Mus musculus: one gene and its partners. The protein of the gene in region 4 purifies or fractionates together with the protein of the main gene of each other region. This does not show direct contact. Links are inferred from orthologs where the notes say so. Each region holds a gene or a part of one and is shown on either strand. Other genes may lie near its edges.

Region 1 (4,540 bases), on a different chromosome or scaffold from region 4:
TTAGCAAAGCATCTAGCATACAATAATCAACCAATAAGTGTTAACTATTAAAATTATACACTATACACGCCTCTCTAAAACTCAAGTAATTCCTGTGTGGCTTCAAAAGAAAACCAGCTTAATGGGGAGAAGGACAGCGATTAAGTAACCATCATAAAGACAGCAAGCAGCTGGGCAGTGGTGGCGCATGCCTTTAATTCCAGCACTTGGGAGGCAGAGGCAGATGGATTTCTGAGTTCGAGGCCAGCCTGGTCTACAAAGTGAGTTCCAGGACAGCCAGAGCTACACAGAGAAACCCTGTCTCGAACAAACAAAAAACAAACAAACAAACAACAACAACAAAAACTAGCAAGTGAACTGACTGACCTATAGAGAAATTGGGGAACGTGACAGAACAAATTGCCACAAAGCCAATGAACTTTCCACACCTAACCCACAAACTGGCAATCTTCTCCTCTTTGAGGCCAACCACCTATTTTGAAAAGGTGGAGCTACTGAGATATAAAACCACAATGCCCAGGTATAGAGAACTATTAAACTAATAAGCCTGCCTAATGCTTTTCCCACATTTTCTAATAAAATACAGAGAAAGCAGAGGACTGAATCCCTCACCCCCAACTATTGGGAATAAAACCTAGCCTGCCCAAATGCCAGGCAAATAAACTACCACTCAACTAGATCCCCAGTCACAACCCTTCACATAACTTTTACTTTGAGGCAGTCTTTCTAAGTTTCCCAGGATGGCCTGGAACTTTTAAAAATCTTCTTGCACCAGCCTCCTAGGTGCCAAGATTAGAAGCATGAACTATGAAATCTGGATGAGAATTGAATTTCATCTTACTATTTCATCTTACTATTGCACTTAGCACAAAACAATAGATTATTTTACAGATAGCACAAATATAGAATTTACTTTGTTTAGGGCAATTGTGTTGCATTAATATTCCTATCTGATTTTATATTATCAAACCAACAAGGGGCTGGAGATGGTTAAGAGCACTGACTGCTCTTCCAGAGGTCCTGAGTTCAAATCCCAGCAACCACATGGTGGCTTCCAACCATCTGTAATGAGATCTGATACCCTCTTCTGGTGTGTCTGAAGACAGCTACAGTGTACTTACATATAATAAATAAATCTTAAAAAAAAAAAAAACAACAAGACGTAGAAAGGTCTATATCTGTTAACTAAAAAGACTTCAATACTCAAATTTTCCCCTTAACTTGTGTGCTAACACAAAGAACCGTCGAATCCCACTTTGTGGCCAAAGGGAGTAAATCTAAATTAGAGCTATCCCAAAAATGCAAGTCTGCTACAAGGCTAACCAGTGAGTCTCCATTCATGAGACTAGCTCAGCTCTAGAAGGAAAAAGCTTACACTTCAAACATCCAGAAAGCAAGAAGCTTGGTGCTGTTATACACAGAGACAACAGAAATCTCAGAATCACTGTTCATCTCATAAACGTCAAGGGCTAAGTGCATGAATTCCCTTAACATTGCCAAGACAACTGCAATAAGACAGCTAAGACAGTTAAAACTCAATGGTCCTTGACGAGGAAACAGTGGGATAATTATTCTTGGTGTTTATCTGCTAGCCAGGTCTGTTCTCATATCCTGGAAGATTTTGACCACAACACCAACTTAGAGAGCAAGAAAAGACCCAGAAGTACGTGTCTGACACTTTTTAAGTAAATCCAGGGAGAATGAAGTGCCATTCACTTCCAAGGTTGTTCTCACTGGCTTATGCCTGTTTGTTTGTTTGTTTGTTTGTTTTCTAAAGGAAAAAAATCTTCCTCCACTAATCACTTTGAAACTAGAAACTCTAGTTGCAGCGGGCAGTTTTTTTGGACACTTAAAACCTCTTGGACACAATTTGCCTGCTAGGCTTCAATTACGCGGGGCTGGTCACAGAAGGATTTTTTTTCTATCACCAAGTCACTTAGTTCACCACCTTCCACAAGGGAAGAGCACGGTAAAGATATTTTGGAAAAATGCCCAAGAAAGGAAAAAGCTGACCGGCTTCCTGAGGGTGTCTCCATCCCTCCCAGCCAGCCAGTCAGTACGTGGTGACTTCCTACCGAAGGCCACCAGGGGAGTATGGCCAAACCCGGCTCTAACACTGCAGGAAACGTTTCAAGCCTAAAAGCCACTTGTAGGATTAGCAGAGCCATTCTGAGTACCACTGCCAAATGATGTCCCCGTAACATCCCCATTAACTCATTGTCCCCAAGTTGCCTAGCCCTGCCCTGCCCTTGGGCCTGACCCTGGCGCCCAGCCCCACCCCGGGGCCGCAGCAGTTCCCCTTCCCCGGCTCCCAAGGCACACCCAGAGGCCTCGGTGAGCAGCTCCTCCTCCCCCACAATCCCGCTCATCGGTGGGAACCAGCTTGCTCAGAAGACAGCTCCCCCGCCAGGTTCACTCTAGCCCTCTCTGCCCACGTCCCTCCTGCAGCAGACCAGGGTTCTACGGCCCTCACCCCCGCCCGGGCCTCCCACCCGCCTGTCCCTCACCCGGCGGAGGCTGAGCGGGCGACGGAGGCACTGGAGGGCGCGGGCCGCTGCTGTTGATGATGTAGTGGGAGACGCGCGAGTTTTCGGAGACGCTAAGCACATAGTCCCCGGGGCTGGTGCTCGAGTCCCGCACCAGGAACACCCCGTGCCGCTGGCCCTGCAATAGCGCCACCGCCTCCTGCCGGCTCAGGCGGCCCCAGTACCAGCTACTCCGCTCCTCCGAGTCGAAGTTGCCCGCCATGGCCGCCTCCGCGCTTTCACGCTGGGCCGCCGCCGGCACGCGCGCCCCTCCAGCCCTGGCGCCCGCCGCCCAGCGGACCGGCTCCGGTGTCAGCCTCCCAGCAGCGCCCGAAATGGCGGCGGCGGCCGCGGGCCTTCCCCACCGGAAATGACGCGCCCTCTACCCGAGGGAGGCTGCCGGGAAGGGGACCGACGCCCGCCATTGGGAGAAGGGAAACGGAGTCCTTGGGGCCCTCAGTGCGCATGCGGCGTCCTGGGCGTCGCCGCCAGGCCCAGACCCCAACCGCGGAGGATGGGGAGGCGGAGTCTAGGTCTAAGGGGCGGAGCCTCAACCTACAAATTGACTGATCCGTGTTTGACAGATTGGTAGCGGCCGGTCTTTTCTCCCAGAACCTACAAGTAGCAACACCAAGAAAAGGACTGAAGTTAAAAAAGATGATGTGGTCCGAGGATGATAGTCGCCCTCAAAGCTCCCTGACTTGCTGGTCTTTTCCCCGTGTTTCCTTCGGTTTCCCCCGAGGTCAGCTGAAGTTCTTGTTATCTATGAGCAGCCACAGATACCGCATTTGCCGCGCAGGTGCAGTGCTGACCCAGACTGGCTTTAAGTCACTGAATTCACACACCTATGGGAGGGACCAGGAAACAACATCTGCTATGGGGGCGGGGGGGGGGCAGAAACACAAGGAAATCAACTAAGTAGTCCTGGAGAGACCCAAGGGCTGGGTAAAGTGACTCATGACAGTTATCCCAACCTCTCAGGAGTTGAGACAGGAGGATCCCTGTGAGTCTGAGGCCCTGTATTATAAAACCAAAACAAATAAGAGGAAGGGGTCCACAGATAAGATGACCTAGGGTGAATGGTAGGATGTTAAATGAAGTGGGGAAGGGTACTCAAGGCAAAGAAAACAAAATGCCCAGCCAGGCCAAAAAAAAAAAAAAAAAAAAATGGAGTTCTCTCTATTGGGGCTCCCATATCCACCAGCCAGATTTTTTTTTAAACTCTCAGTTGTAGCCAGGTGTATCTCCTACTTTTACTTCCTTCATGATCATCTTCATCTATCTCAAAAAATTAATAAAAAAATGGGGGAGGGAAGGGTTTCTCTGTATAGCTCTTGCTATCCTGGAATTCACTTTATAGACCAGGCTGACCTCGAACCCAAAGATCCACCTGCCTCTGCCTCCCAGTGCTGGGATTAAAGGTGTGTGCCACCATTGCATAGCTGTTACTACTGTGTTTTGTATATAGTGAGACCCGGTCTCACTACAAAACCAAAGTTATCCTTAGCCTAGTCAATAGCTCCGGCCTTCCAGAGCTCCCACCCATAGTCTGGGCCAGCCCTGGGAGAGACAGCAGGGAAAAGGGCCCCTTCCTTGTTACCAGTGACTCATCTTGATCTAGCTTAGTCACCAGGAACTAGCAGCAGAAGCCATCCAGTGTAAATTCTGGCCCTTTGGGGCAAATGACTATCCTCTCTCCCTTTTCAGGACAGCTGAGCTTCAAGGCAAGACCTTACAAGAGACTCTGGGAAACAACAAATCCAATTCCCAGGATAAGTGAAAAGGAAAGAGAGATTTGGTTTGTTTGTTTGTTTGTTTGTTTGTTTAGACAAGGTCCCACTATGCAGTTCTGGGTGGCCTAGAACTTGCTGTGTACATTAGCCTGGCCTCAAACTGTCAGACACCAGTCTGCCTTTGCCCCCCCCCCCCAGGAAGGCATATTCATTCATTTACTATTGCATACTCTTATATGCTGGCCTCCAATTCACTACAGAGCTGTGGATGACCTTCAACTT
Region 2 (4,011 bases), on a different chromosome or scaffold from region 4:
GCAGGCAGGCAGACAGAAAGACGAACACAGAGATAGACAGATAGACAGACAGACAGAGACTCACACAGAGAGACAGGCAGAGACAGAGAGCGCCAAGATAAAGGCCTTATGTGTGGAGGGAGCAAGGGAAAGGCTAGCAAGTAAGACTGTAGGTTGCTCTCCAGAACACATTCCAAGTGGAGAGATACGGGCAGGAGGCTCGCAGCACCAAATGCTTAGCACCAGGTGATTAAGAGAAAACAATTATCACTTAGGGTCTCAGTCTCTCCACTCACACTGTGCAGTGTCAGTTGAAATGAGCCTCAAGCTGGGAGGCTTGAAGCCAGAAGCCAGAAGACAAGCAATTAATTAGTTGGCAAAATAAGAGTTACCAGTTGGGAGTGAGCTCTGAGTGCATCTGTAAGTGGATTTGGTTTCTCTGATGTTTCCAGAGAAGTAATGGTTCTACCTGTATGTAAAGGCTTAAAAGCCTACTCATGTAAGAGACAGAAGAAAGGTCAAAGATTCAATGGTCTCAATCAGTTTATGTGTGAATAGTCTCATATTAACATCTGACAGCTGAACTTCTGTAGAAGCATTCAATGTCTACCCTCTCCTCTCTCTTCCTCTCTTCCTCTCTTCCTCTCTTCCTCTCTTCCTCTCTCTCTCTCTCTCTCTCTCTCTCTCTCTCTCTCTCTCTCTCTCTCTCTCTCTCTCGCTCCCCCCCACCCCTTTCCTGTCTCCATAGTATCTATGCCACTGTGCCCACATAGGCATGATAACCTAATGCAGATGGCTAGTGGGTGGAGGCAGAGTACCAGAGAGAACTGGCGGGTGCATCCTCCCTGGATTTGGCACCAAGCCATGAACCACTTTGGTAGTGACAGAACTACCATGCACTTTGGCATCTTCAGTTGCAGGTGCAGTTTATAGAATCCTAACCATCTTAGAGATTTGAGAGCATGCTAGTGGCTCTAGATGCAGCACTGGACATGGTGAGTTGGGCAGATGAAAGGGGCCAACATTTAGACTTGGAGATGTTAGAATTCTGCCAAACCTACCTCTCTAACCACCCTGAGTCACCCCCTTGCACACCACTCCTTCACTCACACAATAGAGTCACATTGTTCCCTTAGTGTATTACAAAAACAAGATCCAGGAACGCTCTTCTGAAGATGAAATGTTCTGACACAGAATACTGACTGAAAAACAAAGGTTAGGGTTCATATCGATCATACACACACACACACATAACACACCCATACACACACACACACACAAAACACACTCATACACACACACACTCTCTCGCACACGCACAGCCAGGGGAAACGAAGTTTCCTTTCATATTTCAATTATAACCCCGGATTGTCCATATCACAAAAGCAATCACCTATTAATCATCTATTGTTTATGAGTGAATCTTGTCTCTGCTCTGGGGAAAATCCTGAACCTTTGATCCTTGTCACTAGTTGAATAGCAATGCCCAACACCAAATCTATTTTTCCCCAGGTATATATTGAAGTGTCATTTCTGTGAGTTAACCATTCAAACAAAGTGAGAATCGGGAACAGAAAGGCATTTCTTACTCATGGCAAATAGTTTTCTCACAGTGATGACTACGTGGACAGAAAATATGGTACAGACTGAAGCGCGTGCTAATTTTGCTTTCTGGTTAAAAGGACGCAGAGCCATTGAAGATAGATTACAAAGAACACGTGGAGAAACCGTAACTCAGACCTCACAGACGAATAAGATCTAAAACTTTCTGAGCACCGACCCCTAATTTCATGTGACAGATCCCAGTCAAAAAAGGTAGGTACACTGAAAAATATTGTGTAAAATTGCCTTCAGGCTATGTACACTTGTGTGACACTTAAATGAACATCTCAGAGACGAGGCTTAACAACCACCAGTGTCACCATGAGTCACCCACAAGGCATCCTACTCAAAGTATGTGCAGCTATGTCCAATGCGATCGAATTGCCAGAGACCATCTGATGAGCCTATGACATCACACTGACCTTCTATTATGAAGAGCGTCTCCGCTCTTGCACAGCCAAGGACATTGCAGGCCTGGCAGGTGTAGAGGCCTCCATCCTCCTTCCTCACCCTGCGGATAGTCAGGTTCCGGTTCCCATCTCTCAGTACAATGCCTAAAGGAAGAAGGAAATTCTTGCTTTATTTCTGATGGGATGCTTTGTCCATGGCATTAAAAATAAAAACTAGTTGCTGCCCTTTATCTCAGACCATTACCTAACTCTAAAGAGGTGCACAAGGTTGACTACTGACTGCTCTCCCATGGGATCTACATGCAAACTCAACCGGACTCCAAACAAGCTGCTTGTGACTCTGAAATGAGCCAGACCCTGTACCCACATTTGTGTGTTCCACGGGAGGGCATGCAAGTGTATAGAGGCCAGAGGTCAATGTGAGGTGGCTGCTTTATAGCTTTCTGCCTTATTCTTTGGCGACAGGCTCTCTCTCTCTCTCTCTCTCTCTCTCTCTCTCTCTCTCTCTCTCTGAATCTGTAGCTTGATGACTCAGCTAGACTGGCAAGTGAACTCCAAGGAGGCATTTGCCTTCCCATCCCCCCACCCTGCCCCTTAGTACTGAGATTCCAGAAGGATGCTGAGTCTAGCTTTCTACCTGGCTTCTAGAGATGAGAATGCAGTGCTTGTGCTAGTGCGGCAAGCATTTCACTGAGTCATTTCTTCGAGTCCCCTAAATACTGCCTTCTGTCTACTTTGAAACAAGCCAATAAGTGATGGTAGTCTTACCTAGCATCCATCAGAAAAATTCTACAACCAGAGAAATAGACAAGTTTCACTCACCTGAATCTTCTACCAGGGTCTCGTTGTCTTTGAACCATGTAATGTGTGGGGTAGGATTTCCAGATGCTGGGCAAGTCACTTCAATGGTCTCGCCAATGGTTGTTGTCTGATTCTCCAGATTTCCGGTGATCATGGGTGCCATGCGCTCTGTGCACATAAAAAGAAAACTGTAAAGCCCACGGCTCAAACAGCTTTCATGTCCTGTGACTATTAAACGGTTCTAAACCTCATAAGCAGGAGCCCATTAATAAACCAAGCTCAAACTACACCGAACTTGGCAACAGCAACCCTGTTGGATGAGTGAAGTCAAACAAAATAAGAAAGGACACTTCAGACAGACACAGAGGCTTTTAAATATTCACATTAGCCACCCCACATGCAAATCACACAGTACTTGGGAATCTTTGGGGATGGTTTTATTCAGGTTAGAGGATTTATTTCCCTCCAATTCCACAAGGCTTTCCCTAAGAGTAACTTCTTCTCTGGAAAGTTGTAGCCTCTAAGAGTAAAATTCATGTTTTCCCTTAGGAAAGACAAAACTTCAGGACAATTATGTAAGGAGTGACTTACATAACTTTGGATAACTATATCATTTCTAATATTTACTGTCAGTCACATATAATGAGAGCCACGCCATTAGCCTTATTTTTATGTGATGTGATTGCAGTCCAGGTTAAGCACCTTACCCTATAACTAAGTAAATGGTTGAGATAATAGTAGAGTCTGATGGGCCTAAAACTCCTTCGTGGTTTCCACTCAAACACAAACCAAACAATAATATCCTACGAAAAGCCAAGGCCATTTGTCTACATGGACAGCAAAGCCTGAGCTTTACCGTGCTCCTGAAAATCACCCAACTGCAGTAGAAACATTGATGAGCATCAGGAAGAATCATGTTGAGAGAATCTCTTCCACACTTAGCAGAACGTGGTCATTTCCACCATGTACTATATATATCAGAGTTTAAACAAGTGTACTTGGCTCTGGCCTACTTCCAAGAACAGAGTTTTGGAAACAACAGAGGCATCCTTATAGAAGCATACCCACTGACTGTGATAGGAAACTTCCTGGTCATGGCTAAGCCCAGAGCTCCCTTCTAAACTTGCCCTCATCTGGATCAGCTACTGTTAACCTGATATAACGGGTCCTATGTGTGGTGTGATCTCTAGGGTCTTGGGAACAACTTCACTCAGAAACA
Region 3 (4,011 bases), on a different chromosome or scaffold from region 4:
ACGAGGCATGAGCCTAGCTCAGAGCTTCAGCCCTCCCTCTAAGAGTCCAAGCAGCAGACAAATGGGTCCAAAGCAGGAAGCTTTTTTGGCAACAGCTCCTAACTAAGGTGGTGGAGGCACAGCTAGTATTGACAGAAGTCATAGGTGGAACCCAAGTGGCAGAGGAAGTGTCTCCACCAGGCCCTTGCCTCTGATGGGAAAGGGTCAGGTCCCTGATGTTGAGTGCTTTGAAGGCTGAAAGTGGTACAGGGGAGAGAGGTGTAGGAAGAAATGGAGAAAGAGGTGACAGAAGAGGCAGGTCTGGGCAGCTGCCTCATGGCTCTTGAACTTGGTGGCCCCCTTCATTACAGCTTGGCACCCTTGGAAGGTTCGGAGGACTGCCGCACATCTGTCCACTCCTGCATGGTGTTCTGCAGGGCCTGGGTCTTCTCTTTATCCACTTGGACATAGTCTACCTTCTCATCTGATGTGACAGATGATGTGGATGGCTGAGGGGACAAAAGAAATGGCTGAGTTACCTACATAAGGCTATCACTTTGAATGTCTGTGCTGAAGGTGGATTTCAAAGTGAAGTAGTCTTCTGTTGGAGGCACCAAGCCTGCTGACACCTCATTCTCAGCTTTCAGGATAACCTGCCAGTCCTGGGCCCTGCCTCTGGCTCAGGCTTTCAATAGTGCCTCCACCCATCTTCCTTTGGCCACACCTCCAGGGAAAGGGATGTGTTGGATGACAATAAGCACCAGGCCTTTATGCCCTCACAACACACTGAGGGAAAGTGTGTTGAGGTGGACTTCCCTGGCTTTTAGGGCTGAAAGTGGTTCTTGGTGAGGCTTTCCCAGGCCCTAAAGTCCCTTCCAAGGGATGCTGTGTCTCATTCAGACAGTTTCTCTCTGTCTCTCTCAAAGGAAAGGAAGAGAGGATCTCCATCTCCTACATTGTTGACAGAATTCCTTTGTAATCATGACTAATCCCTGTGAGTATATCCCACGGCAAGGACATGAGTAGACTGACGCTCTGCAATGCTCATATAAAATGTCTCTGCAGAGGGGCTGCTGGGATGTGTTCCCTCCTTCCAAACTCCCAGGTACCTTGCGGTGAGGGCTTGGGGAGCCCGGCTGGAAGTCCAGGGCGAGATAATCCACACTGCCAGTACTCTTCTTTGGAGCTGGGCTGTTAGTGCCACTGGGAACAGGGGATGCAGATACTGGGTTTTGCTATGACAAAGAGTAAAACTGGGTAAGTTTAACAACCTAAACCACCACCTGGAAAACTACCTCCAGGGGCAAGAGCTCCTCTACTGTGTCCTGCACTGAGCCAGTGCACTGAGACTGTTCATATTCTCATTCATGTCTTCACAGCAGCCCTGAGAGGTGGATATCACCACTGTTCAAATCACTAGAGGTTATAACACTAGATTCAGGAAGTACAGTGAGTCACCTACATTTATATAGCTGGTGCATGACAAGAGCCAGGGATGTGCTCTGACTACCAAACCTGTGCTAATCCATGTGCCTGCTCCCCACACCCTAGGCAGACTAGGGGCAAGTCTTAGGTACTGTCTATCCTAAAGCCCCAGCCTCGGTTGGCAGGTCCCTGGTGAGTACATCCTTCCACACTTGGTAATGCACAGCTTCCTAGCACACCTGGACACAAGCAGCTCATGCTCTCTGCTCTTCTCCAGAGACCTGAACAGTCACCTTGTTTCTGGGTGACAGGCCTTCATTTCTTCAGCCATTTCCCACGTGAGAAGTTCTAGGGCTCTGTCTTCAGCTTTAAAAGAGCACTTTATGTCTAAAACGTGCCCATGATCTGACTGTAGTAAGAAGTGATAGTCCCATTTTAATGACTGATCTGTTTCTCGAACCTCTGCAGCCTTGGCAGCTGTACCCTTTTTAATGACCCCAGAGAGGAACTGTATTCTGCTCTGTGTGTATTTCTACTACTACATCACACTGCATGGAGTTATATATCTCTATGTCTCCCCAACACTGTCTCTCCAAGGACACCCATCATAATGTCACCTAAATTAGAGTAGTGAGAAAGGCAGGCCACCTGGGATCTTTAAAACACAGATGTCCTTGGGGGTAAAGCTGTGTATTTCTAATGGCTAATAACCCTGTTGTTTGACAGTCATGTGTCTAGGAAGGGTCTGCATCAGGAAGCTGACGTCTATGGCCATGGCCTGAGCTGGGAAGAAGAAATGGAAGACGGTCCAGTGACTCTCAAGGACTCACCATAGGGACATAGTTCTCCTCACTGTCTCCCGAGTCTGTGCTGGTGATGCTCTGTGTGGAGATAGGACGGCAGTACTGGGAGGAACTGGAGTTAAAGGTGTGGCTGCTGGACAGAAAAAAAAAGAGAGTGAACCCTGAGAAGTATTGGTTCTTAACCCCAGACCTGGCCTCTCACCTGAGTTTCACACTTCCATTATCAGATAGATTTAATATAGGGACATTTTAATCATTTCCCCTTCACAGAAGAGGAAAACAATTCCCAAGAGATCAAGAGACAGATTAACAAAACGTGGACGATAATTGGCATGTGGCACAGCAACAGATGTGGGAAGATCCACCCTCAATGTGTATAGTACCAGCCAAGTAGACAGGGGCTGAATGGGACAGCCAGGACAGGCATACATTTTGTTTTCTGGCTGTCATGCTCTCTCCATCCTGTTTTTGCCTTGCCACAGGCCTCAAGTGAGCCAAGTGACCACAGACTGAATCATGAACCAAAACACATCTATCCTTGTCTTGAAGTGTTTATACCATATATTTTGTAGCAAAGACCAGAAACCGAACAAAGCTCCTGATAGCATTATCATCAATGTCCTGGTGTCCTGACTGCTAGGCCAGCTATCATGCCACCCAATTCTGACCCCAAACTTTTGGTTTTGCAGTCACTCACTTGATCCTGGACCAAGACTTGGTGACAGGTGACTTGAAGGGCAGCTCATCGATGACAGTGTTGTTTCTCAGGTCAAGGGGTGTTGGCTTTGCTAAAGCAGGAACAGAGTTCAGGGATCAGTGACTACACTACACACACAGACTATATGTAACACGCCAGCACTGTACAAACGCTGTCAGCTTTATACAGGGCATCTGAGGCTCAGTAAGGACATACAGATGGCTTGGTTTCAGGACTCCCACAGATATCAAACTCTAGATACTTAAGTCTATGTCTTTGTCGTCACATTCTAAAGTATGTGTCCTTCCCACTGTATCTATAGTAATCAAGACTTCCAGAATCCAAAATGGGACTTATGGGTCTGACAATAAAGATTCTCCCTAGGTTTTATGACTTCTCATGAGAACAGATTGTATTCACAATAGAGATGGTCATTGTGACTACTGCTGTTGATTTTGGACAGTGTTATACAAATAACAGTGAAGGAAAGCAAAGGGGCACAGGACCCTGTAAGGCTCAAGGTCACATAGTCAGAGTCACACCCATGGCTTCCATCTCTGTCTAACTTCCCCAATTCTCCTTTTCAATCCCAGCAGAAGTCCAGTTTGGACTCTAGCATGTTTTCCTGATCTCCACACAGACGATGGCCCTACTACTGCACACCTGCAGTGGACTATGTGAAGCATTCCGGACACTTTCCCTATAAACAAATCCGAAGTGTGAATTTACATTATCTGCACAGTTACATACTTCTAAGCCCAGTATCTACCCAATCTCTAAGCAAATGCTATCCAGAGATGAGATGGGGCAAAAAGTGGGCTTACCTTTTCTGTCAGGCTTGAGGTTTCGGTTGACCGGGGGTGGCTGGATTTCACTTCCTCGGCTGGGGCCTCTGTGAATAGGAAGGGCTGTGGACGGGTAGCCAAGTGGGTCAAAGTGATGGGGTCCTGGGCTCATGGGGATGTAGACACTCTGGGAGTTGTCCCCTGGTCGTTCCATAGCCAGCAGGGTAGAAGAACCTGGGTTCATGGGCACGTAGTTGTCATCAGAGCTGGCACTATTTGATCGACCTACGGCAGTCTTTCCTGGCTAAAAAAAAAAAGGTAA
Region 4 (3,466 bases):
GCAGCCCCCCCGAGCAGCAGCAAGCCCTAGCCACGCCGAGGGGGAAAGCACAGAGCCGTTGCACCAACTGCGCGCCTGCTCCAGACTCACCGCCCGCCCGCAGCCACAGCAACCGGAACCGGAACTCCAATGGGTCACCACCACGGAACGCGGTGGGGAGGGAAAGCAGGGAAGGGCCCAGACGCCGCACCCAGGAAGGCTGGGCCTCGCCACGCCACTCCTCCGAAGTGCGCCTGTCGCCGCCCAGCTAGCCCGGTAGCAGAGTGGAACGCACCACTCGACAGGGGCCGTGCGAGCTGCGGGTGGGCCTGGGGGCGGTCCGGACACGCCCCTTCCCGCCGCGAGCCAGTCGCCTTGCAGATACGTCCCTACCGCACAGCCTCGCAGCTCCCCAAATCTCTGCAAACTGGTGCCTGCGGGCTGGCGCTGGCTTGGAGCCCACTGGACCTAGCCCAGATGGGGTCCGTCACCACCTCCCACAGACAGCCCCCATCAATCAGACTTTCCAGAGGAGTTGAGAGGCCGAGGTAAAAGAAATACGAACTTTAATGAAGACTATTTCCCTTTGGTATAAGACATCCAAACCAAAAATTTGGCGACCATTCCTTGTCCAGAAAGCCTACACACAGAGTGAGCTTGCAAGGTTTCTGTGCTGGCTGCAGCTGCCCGAAAGCAGAAGGTAGGATCTAAAACTATCACATCATAGTCCCACAACACTGCTCAGCCAAATTTCTGCTCAGTTGTCTTGGCGAAAAAGAAAAAGGGGGGGGGGAGGAGTGGGGTACAATCCTGTCCTAGTTAAGGCCAGGGAGTAAAATCCCAACAGTTGTTTAAAAAAAAAAATAAAAGTTTGGAAAAGTCATCGAGGTGATGTATAAATGTAATTGATTATCATAATTCTGTGCTCAAAAGTCAGCAATGAAAAACAAAACCAGGAAAATAAATCTACAGCCCTAAAATGTATACATGTTTTTTAAAAAAGAGAGTGCAGTTCCAGACCTGCAAATGGTATTGGGGATTGTCTACTGCTTCAGTCTTATTGCCTCCACAAAACCCACACTGACTGTACACACCCTGGAGGCCCAAGTCAGACGCACACACCTATCCCAAAGGAGGGAGGCAGGATGGGGTTACAGTGAGGGCTATACTTTGGCTGTAGACTATAACACACATGCAAACATGGGAGGAGCAGGCTTGAGAAATGTATACAGACCCCTTGGAGGAAAGGCATTGAGGTCAGGAGGCACTGAGCAAGATGGGTCCAGTCCTGCCCCTCCCCGCTACCATCAGGAAGAAGGCTCTGGGGTAATCGCTCTTTTTGGTTTTTGGAGACAGGTTCTCTCTCCATAGCCCTGGCTGTCCTGGAACTCACTCTGTTGTAGATCGGATGGCCTCACAATTCCTCCTGTCTCTGCCTCCTGAGTGCTGTGATTAAAGGCGTGCGCCACCATATTCAGGCTTGGGGCAATCTCTTAAGGGCTGCACATCCGAAAGGCAGAGCAGATAGCGGCCACTCCTGTCCCTATTCTCCCTAGACACAGGAAGGGGTGCTGAATAGGACAGGGCTCCAGAAGCCAAGGTGGCAGTAACCCCTGTCCACACGTGAAGGGCCTGAGAACTCTGCATTAAGTATCTGCAGACCTATGATAGTCAAAGGCACAAAGTTTAAGGGGAAGCAGAGGGAGTGGGATATGTTATGCGGGATCTGGGGTACCCTGAAGACCCAGGAGTAAACCAGAGGTATAATTATTTCCCTTCCCCCAAAGGGCAGTTGCTCCACTGGGCCTATCATCACAGGGCATTTTCCATTATAAGAACCCACCCTTTGGGGGGGAAGGGCATCAGGTTGGCACAGGCAAGGCCCAGACAAGGGACCACTCTGCACATTAATACTTTGGTGAAGTTTGGCCAGAGGCAGGATGCTACCCCAGGCTCCTTACTGAAACCCTCTTTTTCTCTCTCTCAAGTGGGCACTAAACCCATGTCCTCGTTGCTCCCAGTTCCCACCCAAGGCCAGACCCACAAAACAGAGGTCCCACAAGTTAGAGAATACGGGAGACGGAAATGGAGAGCATCCTGTTGGAGAAGCTGAGAAGGATCACACTTTCCGATCCACGGGTTGCTGTAGGCACAGTTCGCTGCCCGCAGAGATGATGGGCAAGTGATTGTCCATGTGGTAGCTGATCAGGTGACTGACACTCTCAAAGCGGTGATCCTTTGTCCGAACCTGGGAGGCAGGGAGAGAAGGTTGGGTCAAGAGAAGAGCTCAGGAAGACTGAGGAAGGCGGGCCAGCAGCCGTGATTATCCAGGCATCTTTACAGAAAAGACAGTCACATGGGTGGGAATGGGCAGTGAACTGGGCGAAGGGGAAGGAGACCAGAAATCACGGAAGCTGACAGTGAAAATTCTGACTTGAAGGAAGCTGGTGTCTCTCAAAAGTGACACAATGCAAAACCAAGGTGGAAAAAATGCTGAGAAGAGAAAAGAAACTGAGCAGAGCGGTGGCGGCACAGCCTTTAATCCCAGCGCTGGGGAAGCAGGGCAGGCGGAGCGCTTCAGTTCGAGGTCAGCCTGGTCTACAGAGTGAGTTCCAGGGCTACACAGAGAAACCCCGTCTTGAACCTCACCACCACCCCTCCCCTAAAAAAAAAAAGAAGAAAAAGAAAAGAAACCAAGGTTGTATGGAATAGTAAGGCAGGTTAGATTTGTTGAAAACAAAACAAAACAAAACAAAACCCTGAGTTTGAAGCTAAGGAGCTAGGGAGGCTCCTGACTCCTCTTGCAAGAGAAAATTTGGGGTCTCCACCCCCTAACCACTGACACTGGGCACCACTGCCTTTCCAGTGTCATTTCCTCACTTAGCAAAAGATCAAGTAAGCACTCTCTGGGGGCTGGCAGGCTTCACTGGGATGTGAGGACTGGTCAGAACTGAGAAGAACACAGCTCAGACTCGAGGACAGCAGGGAAGGAACCCTGAGCCACTGCAGGTGGATGCAAGTGTCCAGCAAGGGCAAAGGAGTCCACAGGAAGCCTCCGGCAAAGGAAGTCTAGAAAGCAAAACCACACCAGCCCCTGCCACACCTCTGTCACACTTACCACACCTTCAGGGTCCACCAGCAGCAAGTGCTTGGGCTGCCCACTCTGCAGGCCAGTGAGCACATACTGGCCAGGCGTGGTCGTGCTCTCTCGCACCAAGAAGTCACCATTGAGCTGCAGCAGCGCCTCGGCCTCCCTCCGGCTCAGCTTCCCGTGGAACCAGGGCTCCCCTTGCAGCTGCTCAGCCATGGACATGGACTGCGGTGGGGGTGGCACCCGAAGTGCATCTTCAAAGGGCTCTAGGGGTGTAGAGAGACAGCTGGGAGAGGTGCCCCAGTATCACCTGAGACCCAGACTCAGTGTGGGAAGCCAGGTAGGGGAGAACAGGCAGAAAAGAAGGAACAACGGAAGGTGGGGCTACAAGAGACT
Region 5 (4,688 bases), on a different chromosome or scaffold from region 4:
GTAGGCAGGAGATAAACAGAAGGGGGAGGAGTACATGGACAGAGGGGCCATGAGGACGATGTAGAAGGAAAGGGAGAGACTGTGTAGGTTTGGGAGGCACATGGAGAGACATGGGGCAGCAAAGCAGATACCTCAAGCTGGAGAGAGAGGCTGGGAACAGTGGGCTAGGGCCAGTGGGATGGCAGAGAGCTGGAATGAAAGGGAAGAGTGCCCCTAGATTTCATGCCAACCGCAAGATGAGAGTATTGGAGACACCATGAAGAGGAAGGACACAGCCCATCATCGGGCCATTAAGAATGTATGCACACCATTCTGTCCCCGTGGGGAAACCCACTGGTATACCAATAAAGGGACACAGCTATAAAATGGCTCCTGATGACACATGGCCATACCCACAAATCAGTCCACCTCAGAGAAGCTTCGTGCAGTAGATAGGAGTTAGCACAGAGACCCACAATCTGGACAGTGTGCAGAGAGTGAGAGACTTTGAAGCACTCTATTCGAACTGGGATTTCTTTGTCATGCTCCTCCCCTCAAGGCTCAGGGATCTATGGGTAAGATTAGGTAGAAAGATTGTAAGACAGAGCAGGGCTGATGCCCGTATGAACTCATAGAGACTGTGGAAGCAAGCACCGGGCCTGAACAGGTGCAAACCAGACAAAAATCCCAGCACCAAGAAAGGGAAGTGGCACAAAGTCCCACCTCTCAACCAAGAAGCTATGTGCAACTGTGATACCAGCTGGGATGAGGAGAATCAGCCTCACACACACATACGAATGCCTCCAGGGTAGGCCCTATGCCTAGTACGCGCGCGCGCGCGCGCTCACACACACACACACACACACACACACACACACACACACACAGAGAGAGAGAGAGAGAGACAGAGAGAGAGAGAGACAGAGACAGAGAGACAGAGAGACAGAGACAGAGACAGAGAGACAGAGACAGAGAAGAGAGAGAGAGAGATCCATGATTTTTGTGTGCCTTTTTTGTTTGTCTGGTTTGCCTTAGTATTCTTTGTTTTGTTTTTGACAGAATGAACATCAAGTTGGATGCATAAAGAGAAGTATCTGGGAGGAGTTGGGGCTAGGGAAAAGCATATGAAAAAATATATTGTATACGTAATTTTAAAAAGAAACATTAAAATAAAGAATGAATATATACGATATATCCAGAGCGGAGGGAGGGGCACATGGCAATTTGGACTGTGTAGGAGTTCGTATGTGCATCAGCCCTGTTGTGTCTCAAAAACAGAAGAAGGGAATGGACTGGGCCCACTTGGGGATGGAGCCAACAAGACTACTCTGGGATGATTTCTAGGGTTCTTCTTATTTTTAATATCTCTCTCTCTCTCTCTCCCTCTCTCTCTCTCTCTCTGTTTGTATGTTTGTGTGTGTGTGTGAGTGTGGCGTCCGTATGTGTGTGTTGAGATCATCAGATGACCTGCTGTTGGTCTTTGCTTTGCACCATGTTTGAGACAAGGCTTCTTCTTCATGTTGCCCACACAAAGCTAGCTGACCAGTGAGCTTCCAGGGAATCTCCCATCTTGAAGTGGGGGCATCTGGGATTGCACCTTTGTCTCATCTGGCTTTAAGCGGATTCTGAATCTGAATTCAGATCCTCACACGTGATCAGCAAGTGCTTTGTATACTGAGCCATCTCCTTAGCTGGTTTATTTAGTTAGTTATAATAATTATATCCAAACTATTAAGGAGACTGTTGTAGGTGTGGGGGAAGGAAACGTTTGGCTGACTAGAAAAGCCCCTCTAAGGACAAATTAGGTGTTGGTATGCTATATTCTTCTGGAACATGAGCAAGGACAATGAAAACCAAATCACAGAAAGAATTCAATGCTAAAGTTTTTCAAAGTGTACAAATCGTAGGTCCTTTGATGCTGCTATGTGAGTGTGAGTGACCAACTCATCAAAAATAGGTTATTTGGTGAGAATTTGCTAAGAGAATTTGCCTTTAAGACCCTATCTATCCTGCTCCGGTTTTTGCAGGGATGAGCATCATGTAAGAGAAAAACGTAATGGCCTCAAACTATTAAAAGCCAGACTGAACTGGCTGTCAGCATCCCTAGAGTCTCTCCATTGCTGTCTTTCTTACTGCCCCTCCAGGAATTCTTGTTCTCATCCATTAAGGACTGCCACTGGCTCCAAGCAACAGAGCCCATAGGCAAAGTGATGGGACCACAGGGTGAGAAACATGCCCCACGCGTGGAGCAGGGGAAGACCTCCAGACCATCCAGCACCACCCGGCTGTCCCGCACGCGCGGGAAGAGCCTCGCTGGGCCTTTGCCTCCAGCCACTCGCGCCCACGAACTCCCACGCTTAGACCCCACCCCCACTCCCAAGTTAAAAGTCAGGCTTTTTTTTTTTTTTTTTTTTTTCCAAACGCAAAAGAACTTTGTAGTCTCCCTAGTGTTTCCTACTTTTGTTTCTGAACTCGGCTCCCCGCCCCCGCCCCGCTCCGATCCCAGGCTGGTTTTCGGCTGCCCCAGCTCCCGGGTTCTAGCTCTGCACTCGCTTTAACCCTTCAAGGGGCGAGGGTCGCTGCGCAGCCCAGAGAGGCAGCGAAGAGACCCCGGGCAGCCCGAGTTCCAGACGCCCACCGGAGCTGTGACCTGCGGGTCCCGGACACAGGCCGGGGTCCGGAGCACGCGGTCGCCCGGGGTACGGGGTGCTGAGCTGGGGAGAGGAGCTGTGGGGCGAGGCGAGACGCAGGGCACAAGCAGGCGACGGCGGCTGCACGCGGGGACCCGGGCGCGGGACGGGGTGGTGCGGGCAAAGCTTGGATCTAAGGTGCGGGCTTCGCTCGGGTCCTCGGACAGGGCGCGGGTCGGAGCAGCACTTACCTGCGGCGGCAGGGTCTGGAAGCCGCGGATCGGCGACATCAGAGGGCCGGGGCCTGCCGGTCCTACCGTACTCTGCCCTGCAATGCTCTGGCCGCCGGGGGCCAGACGCACTTCCTCAATCCTGCGGCCGCCTGGCGGGCGGAGAGGGCGGGTGGCGCGGAAGCAGGGCTGTGCCAGAGGGTCGGCCGCCCCGACCTCCCCTGGATGGCCTGCCTCGGTTTCCCTAGCTGCAAGATGTCGGTGACCAAGCTCACTGCTCTTGTGCCTCGGTAGACGCTTGGGTCTTGAAACTTTGTGGACTCCTCTCCAAATTTGAATGCTTTGCTGCCTTCCCTGCGGACAGGCACAGTGACAAGGTTGTGCCTTTCCTACCCTGCTCGAGTAACAGATTAATTTTTATCCTGTTTGCTGGCCATATACTGTGACTGTAAATATTAAGAGAGCGAGAATATTAATGTGTGTGCAGGTCTTTATGGAGCGGTGCAGAAACTACATTTTAAAAGTTGATGTTTTGTAAACTGCGCTTTTTCACCACACGAGTTCGCTAACTTAAATTATGGACGTTTGCAAAGATATTACTAGCTGATGAATATTTTTCGATTTTCGAACTCCGGAGTAGCTGGGATTACAGGAGCATGCCACCCTGACTGGCTGCTTGTGGCGATGAGGTGGAATGTTGTCAGTTGATTCCACTGAAGTTAATAACCAAACGCGGCTATACACTCAGCAGGCAAGCTTCGGATTCCGCTCGTTTTCCCCGAGAAAAGATAATCCTTGGTAGAAAATCAGTACTGGACCGAAGTGCTTCTTACTGGTAAGAATGAATATTCCTGAGACCAAGTGCAAAGAACATTGACAGACCGCCTCACTGGCAGCTCACAGAATTTGAGAAGCCGTGGGCCGCCTGAGATATTTTGGGAACACCTCAAGTGTTTGTTTAGAGTTGGAGTTTGTATCCCTAGTTGGCAAGGCCACAACCTCGCAGCTCTTCTACGTTCGCTCTTCTTTTCCTCCATCGAACACTGTTACAAAAATGTAGGTGGGGTTCTGCAATCCTGTCCTCACCACCGAGGTCCTCAGACCAATTAGCAAGGCCAGCAACATGACTGCTATGGAAAAGTCCCTAATAATTTGCAAGGCATGGCGTCAGCAGTTTGAATGAGCCTGGCTTGGTGGCGCCTTCAGGGCATACATACATCACTGCCACCTAGCGTTACTAAAAGGAAGTCCATGTCTAGAGCCAGGACCAACACACACTAAGAGGACTTGTGTTGCCTATGCTTAAGTGGCAAGAAATTTTCCACTTTAAACAATCTTAGAAATAGGTTAAGAAAAGTGCCCAATTTAAAACAAACAAACGAGCAAACAAAGGTCTGGAATATTCGACACATATATGAGCTTTTTTTGAGATGGCCATATCACAGTATTCAACTGTACCCAGTAGGTGTGTTTTAATCACAAGTTTGCAAAGGAGACAATTACAGAATAGCTAAAATTCCTTCTCACTTCTTTTTCATTCCTGCAGACCCATGTTTTTCTTGGGTTTGCTCACATCCCACCCTGACTTTCAGTCTGAGGTTGGAATTACCCTGTCTACAAAGGGGTCCTCTGATAGACAGTGGTCAGAGGTAGATCAGCCACCCACCTCCCTGAATGAGCATGACACTGCGGAGGCTAACTGTTCCTTTTGTCTTCTGACACTCGATTTTATTCAGCCAAATGCTCACTTTTGTTTGATGTCTCCCCCCCCCACACACACACACAATAATTTAAAGACCCTCTTCCGGTCTCCACCTACAATCACAGTTGGCTACAAGGATTCTAGTAG
Region 6 (4,011 bases), on a different chromosome or scaffold from region 4:
GGTCTGGCTCCCCTGTGTCTGTGATATCTGTCTCTCCTCCCTTCCCTAAAAGGCAAGCCAGCCTGTGCTTAGAAGCCAGGACTCTGCATTGGCTTCCTCGGGCTGTGTGCCCCCAGGCAAATGGCTTCACTTCTCTTTGCTTCTTTTCCTGTGTGGTTCAGGGGCTGGTGTCAGTGCGGTCTGCAGCATGGTTGCTGTGGTAAGGTGCTGACAGCTCCCCTGCCTGCTCTTCTTCCTCCTGTTTGTCTACACATCCCTCCTTTGCCTCCCACCACCTCCACCCTTGTCCCCAGAGCGCCGCCCCGAGCCTTCTGTGTGCCTGGCTCTCTATGTCTGAGTCAGACCTTAGGGCCGCCCTGTCCTGCTGAGAGGGAGTGTGACGGGGACGGTGACTCAGTCATAGACTGCCAACAAGGGCTGTGTGTCAGCATCATGGGCACCTCGCGGAGGTCCTAGTCCAGTTTGGGAGACAGGAGAGCTCCTGGGGATGGCAATCCAAATGGAGACTCAGAATGAAAAAAATGAAAGTGCTGTCCGGGAGGCCATAAGTGTCTCAGTCCTCGGGGAGAAGGAACACCTATGCCTACCATTCAAGCCCCTAGTTACCACACATCTGAATGCATTAGGTGCCAGGCCCAACAGGGTACAGAGATGAGGTCACTGTCAGCCGCTGGCAGGCTTCCTGGAGAAGGTTGTTGGGTTTTTTGTTTGTTTGTTTGTCTGAAACAGGATTTCTTTGTATAGTCCTGGCTATCTTGGAACTTGCTCTGTAGATCAGGCTGGCCTCAAACATATAGAGATCTGCCTGCTTCTGCCTCTGGTGTTCTGGAATTAAAGGCTTTTGCCACTACTGCCCAGCTTGCAGAGGATTTTCGAGGTGGAGTCAGAGGGTACCCTGAGGAGTGATTTTCATTCGATCTTCTGACCAGGGATGGAGGAAGGATGAGACCCAGCTTCGTCACTTCAGTAGTTCCTCTGTGCTGAGAATGCAGGAACCATGGTGGTTCAGGCTGTAAGAGGTAGAGCCCAGCAGTAAGAGAGGCTGTAGCCTGCCCTAGAGACTGTCACACAGGGAACTAGCAGAGACTTCTGCTCCACTGTTACCAGCATAGCTTGGAAAAGCGAGTGAGGTGGTGGGCACAGTGCACACATTCAGGAGGCTGAAGCAGGAGGCTCTTGACTGAGGCCGTCAGGCTTAGTTCTGGTCCCACCCTCAGGCCACCCTATATTCAGGCCTTGGCTTCCCCTTTCTTGTCAAACCTGACTCCCGTGGTGTCCTGTCGTAACCGTGTGTCCTTCAGGGGACAGGCCCCTCTGCTGCTTCTGTCTACCCGCCCATCACTCTTTCCTCCTGCAGATCGTCTCCTCAGCCTCCACTGACCTCCAGGACTACACTTACTACTTCGTTCCTGCACCCTGGCTCTCTGTGAAGCTACTGCGGCTGCTCCAGTGTTACCCACCACCAGGTAAGGCCCATGGACTGCCAGCATCCATGTTCCCACTTGTCCTAAGCGAGGCTGTGCCTCCAGACTCGTGGAAAGCTATGGGTGAGAGTGGGGGGCACAGCCTGGTGCCCTGCCCCATGCAGCACCTGGGGTGGCACAACTCGTCCTGTCTTAGGCCCGTAGCTCTCGGTCCTGTGGAGTGAGCTGGTTAGTGTGCTGCTTTCCAGCAGAGGGCCGTTGTCTCACTCTGCCTAGCAGCTGTCCTGTGCAGCTGGGCTCTGCCTAGTATCCCTCCCCTGCAGCAGTGAGGCACTCTGGGGACTCCAATCAGCTTTATTTCTGTTAAACTCATAACCCCTGGCACCCAAACAGTGTGCAGTGGCCTTCGCGGGTGGTAGCTCAGAGTCCGTCTCTTGAGCTCTATGGTAGCTCCTTGGGAAAAGCTTGAGTGCCGTGTGGCTCTGGGATAGGCTCCTGGGTTTTCCATCCTTCTGTGAGAAACCTAAGGAACATCAGTGCAGCAGAAGGGGAAACTGAGGCTCACAGGAGTGGAGACTCATGCCAAGCAGAGTCAGTATGGAATGAGTAGGAGCCCAGACCTAGAAATTGCTGATCTACATTAAAAGGCAGAGGCCCAGCCTGGGACTGCCAGGCTTGAAGACAGCTGGGCCCCTCCATGGACGGTGAGAGCTAGAGCAGGCTGCAGTCTTTGGAGCCCACCGAACAGAGGGCTCAGCCTCTTTCCCTCTCTCTCCCCCAGAGGATGCAGCCGTGAAAGGGCGGTTAGTGGAGTGTCTGGAGACTGTGCTCAACAAGGCCCAGGAGCCTCCCAAGTCCAAGAAGGTGCAGCACTCCAACGCCAAGAACGCTATCCTCTTTGAGACCATTAGCCTCATCATCCACTATGACAGGTGCTGTGGGCAGAGGTGTGGGCAGGCGGGGCCACTGGCCTGTGGAAGGGAGGCTGGCATCTAACACCTGGGGCTGAGGGACAGCAGGGCCTGGGCAGAGGACAGGTGTGAAATGGTCCCCTGCGGTGGCTGCAGAACAGCTGGCTGCTTAGCTTGTTAGTTTAATCCTGCCTACCGAGGATTGAAGTCAGGGCTGGTTTCCACTGGCCGTATCCCCACTCTAGTGCTTCCCTCTATCTGGGCTCCTGAGGGTTCCTAGGAGGGACCCAGTAGGATGCTGGGTGGGCAGAAGTGAGAAACTGGATCCTTAGACTCACATCTTGTCTCCATGTACACTTCACTTGTGCCTGCCAGTGAGCCCAACCTCCTGGTCCGCGCCTGCAACCAGCTGGGCCAGTTCCTGCAGCACCGGGAGACTAACCTGCGCTACCTGGCCCTGGAGAGCATGTGCACGCTGGCCAGCTCCGAGTTCTCCCACGAGGCCGTCAAGACCCACATTGATACAGTTATTAATGCCCTCAAGGTACAGCCCTCTGCCCCACTCAGAGAGGCCTGGTGCTTGATGGCCTACAGTGGGCCCAGTACCAGCTTAGATCCCAGCTTACTCCTGCTCTCCTTTCCTCAGACGGAGCGGGACGTCAGTGTGAGGCAGCGGGCGGCTGATCTCCTGTATGCCATGTGTGACCGGAGCAATGCCAAGCAGATTGTGTCAGAGATGCTGCGGTACCTGGAGACTGCTGACTATGCCATCCGAGAGGAGATCGTGAGTCTAGAGGACAGGGCTGGACACCTGAGTGTGAGGGAGGAGGGCTGGGGTCTGGCCCCTTAGGTTGAAGGAGGAGTCTGGGGAGGGAGAGCCCCCCTGGGTGTTACGATGGGGCCAGCCATGATCATAGATCCAGGACTGGCAGTAGTCACCCTCCCGTGGGCATGATTGTCCTCACACATCGCCACCTCCCATCGCAGGTGCTGAAGGTGGCCATCCTGGCTGAGAAGTATGCAGTGGACTACAGCTGGTACGTGGACACCATCCTCAACCTCATCCGCATCGCGGGCGACTATGTGAGCGAGGAGGTGTGGTACCGCGTGCTGCAGATCGTCACCAACCGTGATGACGTCCAGGGTTATGCTGCCAAGACAGTGTTTGAGGTTAGCAGCCTTCGCGTTGACCCCGTAATGGAGCGCGGCTGCCAGTCAGGAGCAGCTGGGCAGTCGTCTGCCCCTCCAGCAGGTGCCAGCTTCCTGCTCAGCCAGCCTTGGCTGAGTCACCCTAGGACGTGGGAGCTGCAGCCATGGTACCTTCCCAGGGGGCGTGAAGCAGACACAGCATCTGTGCAGGAGAGCTGGCCCCTTCATTCCTCCCTGTGCACTGCTCCACAGGCTCAGGGGTTGCAGTCAGTCGTGACAGGGAGTGGATGGCTGCAGGGATGTGTGGTAGAGTGCCCGCTGGGCTAGGGCAAGAGTCTGGGTTTCAGTCCCTGCACTCATGCAGAAGCTGTGTGTGTGCGTGTGTGCGTGTGCGCGTGTGCGTGTGTGCGTGTGTGCGCGTGTGTGTAACTCCAGCACTGTGGGCCAGAGATAGGCAGGTTCTGGGAGCTGGCTGTCCAGCGAAGCTAGCCAAAATGGGAATTCTGGGTTCAGTGAGAGACCCTGTC
Region 7 (4,621 bases), on a different chromosome or scaffold from region 4:
ACCCTGACTGTGCTATGCATTCCACATAGCTCGTTTCATATTCATACTGTACAGCAGATACATTAATATTTCCAGATGAGAAAACTGGGGCTCAGGAAGGAAAAAAATCATTTGCCCAAGGATACAGAACAAACAAAAGGTAGGGCTGGCTGGTATCGAGTACGAGAGCAGAAGCAAGTTTGTCTGTCAGGGTAGGGGTGTGTCTTGAATGTTCTTTGTGTACTGTGATGTGTGTATACGTAAGCATGTGTTTGGGAAACCTAAGAAACCAGCCACTTCTGATCCCTTCTGCCAGGCTCCTGAGAGCTGAAATCTGCCTCCCTATAAACACACACACACACACACACACACACACACACACTCCTCCTGACAATGGAACCAGGATCTCTCTTCACTGGACAATAGTTCCTTACCCAGAGAAAGCCTCAGCTGTCCCCCTCCCACTCAGCAGCTGATCCAGCACCTGCCCTGTCCCCTCCCTAATTAAGGGATCTGTTTAGAGGTAGCTAGGAGGCAGAGTCTTGGGATTTTTTATGGACATTAAGATGTCTGGCTTTAGTCTCTCCACACTAGGTGGACCTCCGACTTGTTGCAGAAGCCGAGAGGTTCCCAGAACCCCTCACTCAGCAGGTCAACTGTCTTGGCCAGCGTTCTCACTGTCAACACTACTACTAGCCTTTGGAACCACCAAATCCTTTGTCATCTTAGGTATGACAAATATGTAGCAATATCTTTGTCTCCTCTCCACCAAATGCCCACAGCCCCATCCCAAGAGTAACAATCAAAATTGTTCCCAAAGGTGTCAGAAGAAGGAGAAAGATGGGACAGGAAATGGGTTGTTTAAGAGTATTTTCACTAAATCTAAACGCAAGCCCCTAATGCTTCTCACAGGGGCCCACTTAGTGTGGAACTGTGGGGCAGGGAGTAGAGGTCAGAAAGAACACTACAAACCATTACCACACACAGCTGCCAGGGGCAGTCACAGAACCTGGCCCACTCAGAAGACTGCCAAGTCTAGCTTTAGGCTCAGCACTCATCCACGGCCAGATAACCAGAGCTCAATCTAGAGCCAAGAGAGACTCACTCATTGACTCATGAAATGAAGGTTCTGAGGGCTGGCAAGATGGCTCAGCAGGTAAGAGCACTGACTGCTCTTTCAAAGGTCCTGAGTTCAAATCCCAGCAACCACATGGTGGCTCACAACTACCCGTCAAGAGATCTGATGCCCTCTTCTGGTGCCTGAAGACAGCTACAGTGTACTGATTTATAATAAATCTGCCGGCCTGAGTGAGTAGAGTTGACCAGAGCGAGCAGAAGTCCTAAATTCAATTCCCAACACCCACATGAAGGCTTGCAACCATCTGTACAGCTACAGTGTACAGAAAATAAATCTTAAAAGAAAGGAAGAAAAAGAAAGGAAAAAAAAATGAAGGTTCTGTCCCACACAGCTTCACCCTGTTGCCTCCCCCAAGTCTTCCTCCCAACACACACTATTCAACTCCACCCTACAATCATATATAGTCGCAGAATTGCCCAGGCGTCCAAACACTGGTCTCTCTGCCCCCTACTGCAGTGCTTTAAAACGAACTGCACTCATGTGGAGCATGCATCCTTTCCCTGTACATCTGGGAGAAAGTCTAAGCTGGTCTACCGCCGTCTGCCACTGTTTCTTGCCATCACACCCACCCTGAGCTTCAGAACTCTGGCCTCGGGCCTCAGAAAGTGCTCCAGGCACAGCAGGAAGTGCTCCCCTGTATCCTTCCTCCACCCAGCGATAAAGTCAAGGTCTCCCCTGGAGACAGGGCTGCAGCCCCACCAGCTACAGTCACCCCACTACCACGATTGCCACCACAACCAAGGAACACTCGGCGTGTGCCCGCCCTACTCACAGGACGCAGAGTGCGAAGGCCCCCGCCACGCTCTCGCTATCTCGCACCAGGAAGCTGCCATCGCGGCCCGCCCGAGCCAGGAGCTCCTCCGCAGCAGCGCGGCTCAGGTCACGGTGATACCAGGCTGGGGCCGGGCTGCCTAGCGCACCCCCGGGACTCGGTGTCCCACACACTGAGGCCATGGCCCACGCAGGGCTCAGCGCCGCCGATGCCTGCCGCTCCGCGCCATCCGCCCGGGGAAGCTTGAAGTCGAGGTTGGGCCCGGGTCCCGGGACTAAGGATCCACCAGCCCGAGAGAACCCAGTATGTGGGTTCCACGCTTGGCCGCGCCAACCGCCTGGATCTCCGCGCAGCCGCCGCCGCCCGCAGCGCCGGCCTCAACTTGAAGAGAAAGAAAAGTTTGTTCAGAGGCGGCGGGGGAGGGGCGGGAACGGAGCTAGGAGCTGGCCGGTCCCCTCCCCCTCCACTCGGCCCAGAGCCCGGGCCGCCCCTGCCCCCAGCCTCTCTCGGCAAGGACGATGCTCCGACAGCCCTACAGGACCCGCAAGACCAGCACCTCCCAAGTCCCACAATTATTTTGTCCCCCCACCTCAAGAAGATCCAGTTCCCCGGTACCCGCTCCGGGACAACTTGTGAGTCCAAGTTCTCGCTGGTGAATTCAATCCTTCCAACGATTCGCAATGAGATGACCCCTAATCCCTATGCAAATCTGATTCTACTACACACATCTCTTCTACTCGGCACCCCCACAGCCTTGCGGGATCAAGGTTCGGAAAGCAAGGCTCCAGGATAGACATCCACAACTACTACAACATCCAAGAGAACAAGTTCTCGTAACTCCTATAAGGTCAGAGGCCCCTTCAGACCTGAACCCCCCAAAACGATTCCTGACACATCCCACAAGATCCCAAAGAGATCCGATACCCCACCCCACACATACGCGCGCGCTCGAGGTGCCTTTCACGCACCGGTCCCCGCAGGCCCTCCAGCCTGGCAAAACCCTTCCCCCATCTCCACCAAATTGCCTGGCACCACGCCCCACACCCGCAGGCCCAGGTTTTGCAGTCCCAGACCAGGAGGACCCCCTCGACTACCTAGAAAAAAAGTTCCCTCAAGTCTCAGAGCCTCAACTACCGAACGCAGGCCCCACCTCTAGGGCGACTCGGGTTGACTCCTAGCCCGGGGAAGCCTCCCTGGACTCCCCGCGGCCACTTAAGATGGCCATCCGCCGCCACCGCGCACCCCGCGCCTTCCGCCCCGCCCGCGCCCCGCCTCGTCCGCCCGCGTCCCGGTCTCCGCCGCACGCCCGCAGAGTGACCTCGGGACAGCCTTGGCTCTTCAGTGCGCCCGAGCTTCTCGCTTTCGATAACTGGGGTAACGTTACGAGGGCGGGCTCATTGGGGCTCTGCCTGTAAAGCTCAGGGCCTGGCATGCAGCGTGCGCTCCGGGACGGCGGCTATTTTTATTATTAATTAAGGAGTAACGAAGGTGACAGCTGTGTAAACTGTAAAGCGCGACTGGGGACTGAACGGGTATTATTAGCACCGCCCCCGCTCCGGCTACTCCCTCCAAATCAACAAACTTGCGCTTCCGTGGGCCAGGTGCGAGCAGGGAGCTCCTAAGACTCTGGCTGCTAAGACCTCCCATCCACCGACCCCTGGGGCGGAAAAGGGGACCCGGCGGGAGAAGACGGGGCGGAACCCAAACAGGGCTTTGGCCCGCCCTATTTCCCCCCTAAAAAAAGACCTGGATGGTGGTGGCGTCTCCAAGGATTTCTCTTCCTGCCCCGCCCCTCTGCCCCCTGGCTCCTTAAAGGCGCAGGCCTCTAGCCGCTTGCCTACAACCACCAACTCCTAGAGTCTGTCAGGAGCATCCCTTTAACCTGGGAGAGAACTTTCGCTCTGGTAAATTGAACCTGTTGACCGAGCCTGGGGTCAACCCTGAGGAGTTTCCCTCTGTTTAGAGGATAAGCCAATTTGCATTGGCTTAACCCATCTAGAACAAAGCCTGGGACGTGACGGGTCTGTAGGGACCTTCCAGAACAGATAAATACAAAAACAGAGATCCTCCACCCACCTACCTGTTTCTCCTGGTCCTGCCAGGGCTTAAATAAAGTAACATCCTCCAATCTGTACCCAGCTCCTCCCGCCGGGAATGGAGGACGCCCACCCCAGATCCCGGGGGTGTGCAGTGGGGTCTTACTTTCCTATGCCTGTATTCCCGACCCACAGGAGGCAGAAGCAAATGGAACTCTACCTAGTTGTAAGCCAGCTTCCTTGGTCTAGACTTCCAGCCCATCCAAGACTACATAAGAGATGTGGCCTCAAAGAAAGAAAGGAGAACGAGTTGGAGAAAAGCTGTCACGACCCTCCAAAATCAATATATTTACAGCTTCCTGAGAGGACGGCGATGCTAAAGACTGTGTCATTGGGGTGAGATGGCTTAACAGGTAAAGGCGCTTTTGCCAAGTTTGAAGACTTTGAGTTGAACCCCAGGGACCCATGTGGTGGAAGGAGAGAGCTCCTGCATGTTGTCCTCTGACTTCCACACCTGTGCCAAGTCATCCATGCAGCCCACACACCTAGGCACACACTCAGAATAAACACAAATACAATTTAGCCGAAGGCTAGAGGGTGCTTCTGCCTCTGGGAAGCCACTAATAGTTTCTTTGGCTTCATCAGTAGGATACAGCACTGGGCGAAATGCAAGCTTTTGTTTCTTCTGTATCTTCC

What was found.
Region 1: the proteins of Shc1 (region 4) and Crk purify together in Homo sapiens (affinity purification with western blotting; 3 studies listed by BioGRID and IntAct, with this or other methods). This does not show direct contact. The link is inferred for Mus musculus from reciprocal best matches to the Homo sapiens genes SHC1 and CRK.
Region 2: the proteins of Shc1 (region 4) and Kdr purify together in Homo sapiens (affinity purification with western blotting; 3 studies listed by BioGRID and IntAct, with this or other methods). This does not show direct contact. The link is inferred for Mus musculus from reciprocal best matches to the Homo sapiens genes SHC1 and KDR.
Region 3: the proteins of Shc1 (region 4) and Gab2 purify together in Homo sapiens (affinity purification with western blotting; 6 studies listed by BioGRID and IntAct, with this or other methods). This does not show direct contact. The link is inferred for Mus musculus from reciprocal best matches to the Homo sapiens genes SHC1 and GAB2.
Region 5: the proteins of Shc1 (region 4) and Lrrk1 purify together in Homo sapiens (affinity purification with mass spectrometry; 3 studies listed by BioGRID and IntAct, with this or other methods). This does not show direct contact. The link is inferred for Mus musculus from reciprocal best matches to the Homo sapiens genes SHC1 and LRRK1.
Region 6: the proteins of Shc1 (region 4) and Ap2a1 purify together in Homo sapiens (affinity purification with mass spectrometry; 4 studies listed by BioGRID and IntAct, counting the BioPlex papers as one, with this or other methods). This does not show direct contact. The link is inferred for Mus musculus from reciprocal best matches to the Homo sapiens genes SHC1 and AP2A1.
Region 7: the proteins of Shc1 (region 4) and Inppl1 purify together in Homo sapiens (affinity purification with western blotting; 4 studies listed by BioGRID and IntAct, with this or other methods). This does not show direct contact. The link is inferred for Mus musculus from reciprocal best matches to the Homo sapiens genes SHC1 and INPPL1.

Annotation. Positions count from the first base shown.
Region 1 is NC_000077.6:75,677,632-75,682,171, reverse strand, and holds the start of Crk (adapter molecule crk), read right to left. Parts: upstream 2,914-4,540; 5' UTR 2,749-2,913; coding exon 2,508-2,748; intron 1-2,507. UniProt on the Homo sapiens protein: Involved in cell branching and adhesion mediated by BCAR1-CRK-RAPGEF1 signaling and activation of RAP1.
Region 2 is NC_000071.6:75,954,151-75,958,161, forward strand, and holds part of Kdr (vascular endothelial growth factor receptor 2 isoform 1 precursor), read right to left. Parts: exon of another isoform or gene 3,215-4,011; intron 2,961-3,214; coding exon 2,814-2,960; intron 2,136-2,813; coding exon 2,004-2,135; intron 1-2,003. UniProt on the Homo sapiens protein: Tyrosine-protein kinase that acts as a cell-surface receptor for VEGFA, VEGFC and VEGFD. Plays an essential role in the regulation of angiogenesis, vascular development, vascular permeability, and embryonic hematopoiesis.
Region 3 is NC_000073.6:97,301,353-97,305,363, reverse strand, and holds part of Gab2 (GRB2-associated-binding protein 2), read right to left. Parts: intron 3,994-4,011; coding exon 3,729-3,993; intron 2,996-3,728; coding exon 2,905-2,995; intron 2,341-2,904; coding exon 2,235-2,340; intron 1,215-2,234; coding exon 1,089-1,214; intron 489-1,088; coding exon 345-488; 3' UTR 1-344. UniProt on the Homo sapiens protein: Adapter protein which acts downstream of several membrane receptors including cytokine, antigen, hormone, cell matrix and growth factor receptors to regulate multiple signaling pathways.
Region 4 is NC_000069.6:89,427,078-89,430,543, reverse strand, and holds the end of Shc1 (SHC-transforming protein 1), read right to left. Parts: intron 3,337-3,466; coding exon 3,098-3,336; intron 2,228-3,097; coding exon 2,099-2,227; 3' UTR 515-2,098; downstream 1-514. UniProt on the Homo sapiens protein: Signaling adapter that couples activated growth factor receptors to signaling pathways. Participates in a signaling cascade initiated by activated KIT and KITLG/SCF.
Region 5 is NC_000073.6:66,385,360-66,390,047, forward strand, and holds the start of Lrrk1 (leucine-rich repeat serine/threonine-protein kinase 1), read right to left. Parts: upstream 2,983-4,688; 5' UTR 2,861-2,982; intron 1-2,860.
Region 6 is NC_000073.6:44,905,179-44,909,189, reverse strand, and holds part of Ap2a1 (AP-2 complex subunit alpha-1), read left to right. Parts: intron 1-1,357; coding exon 1,358-1,466; intron 1,467-1,760; exon of another isoform or gene 1,761-1,947; intron 1,948-2,205; coding exon 2,206-2,356; intron 2,357-2,710; coding exon 2,711-2,879; intron 2,880-2,961; exon of another isoform or gene 2,962-2,981; coding exon 2,982-3,119; intron 3,120-3,322; coding exon 3,323-3,505; intron 3,506-4,011.
Region 7 is NC_000073.6:101,834,682-101,839,302, forward strand, and holds the start of Inppl1 (phosphatidylinositol 3,4,5-trisphosphate 5-phosphatase 2), read right to left. Parts: upstream 3,144-4,621; 5' UTR 3,040-3,143; exon of another isoform or gene 2,984-3,039; intron 2,737-2,983; exon of another isoform or gene 2,271-2,736; 5' UTR 2,072-2,270; coding exon 1,890-2,071; exon of another isoform or gene 1,577-1,889; intron 1-1,576. UniProt on the Homo sapiens protein: Phosphatidylinositol (PtdIns) phosphatase that specifically hydrolyzes the 5-phosphate of phosphatidylinositol-3,4,5-trisphosphate (PtdIns(3,4,5)P3) to produce PtdIns(3,4)P2, thereby negatively regulating the PI3K (phosphoinositide 3-kinase) pathways.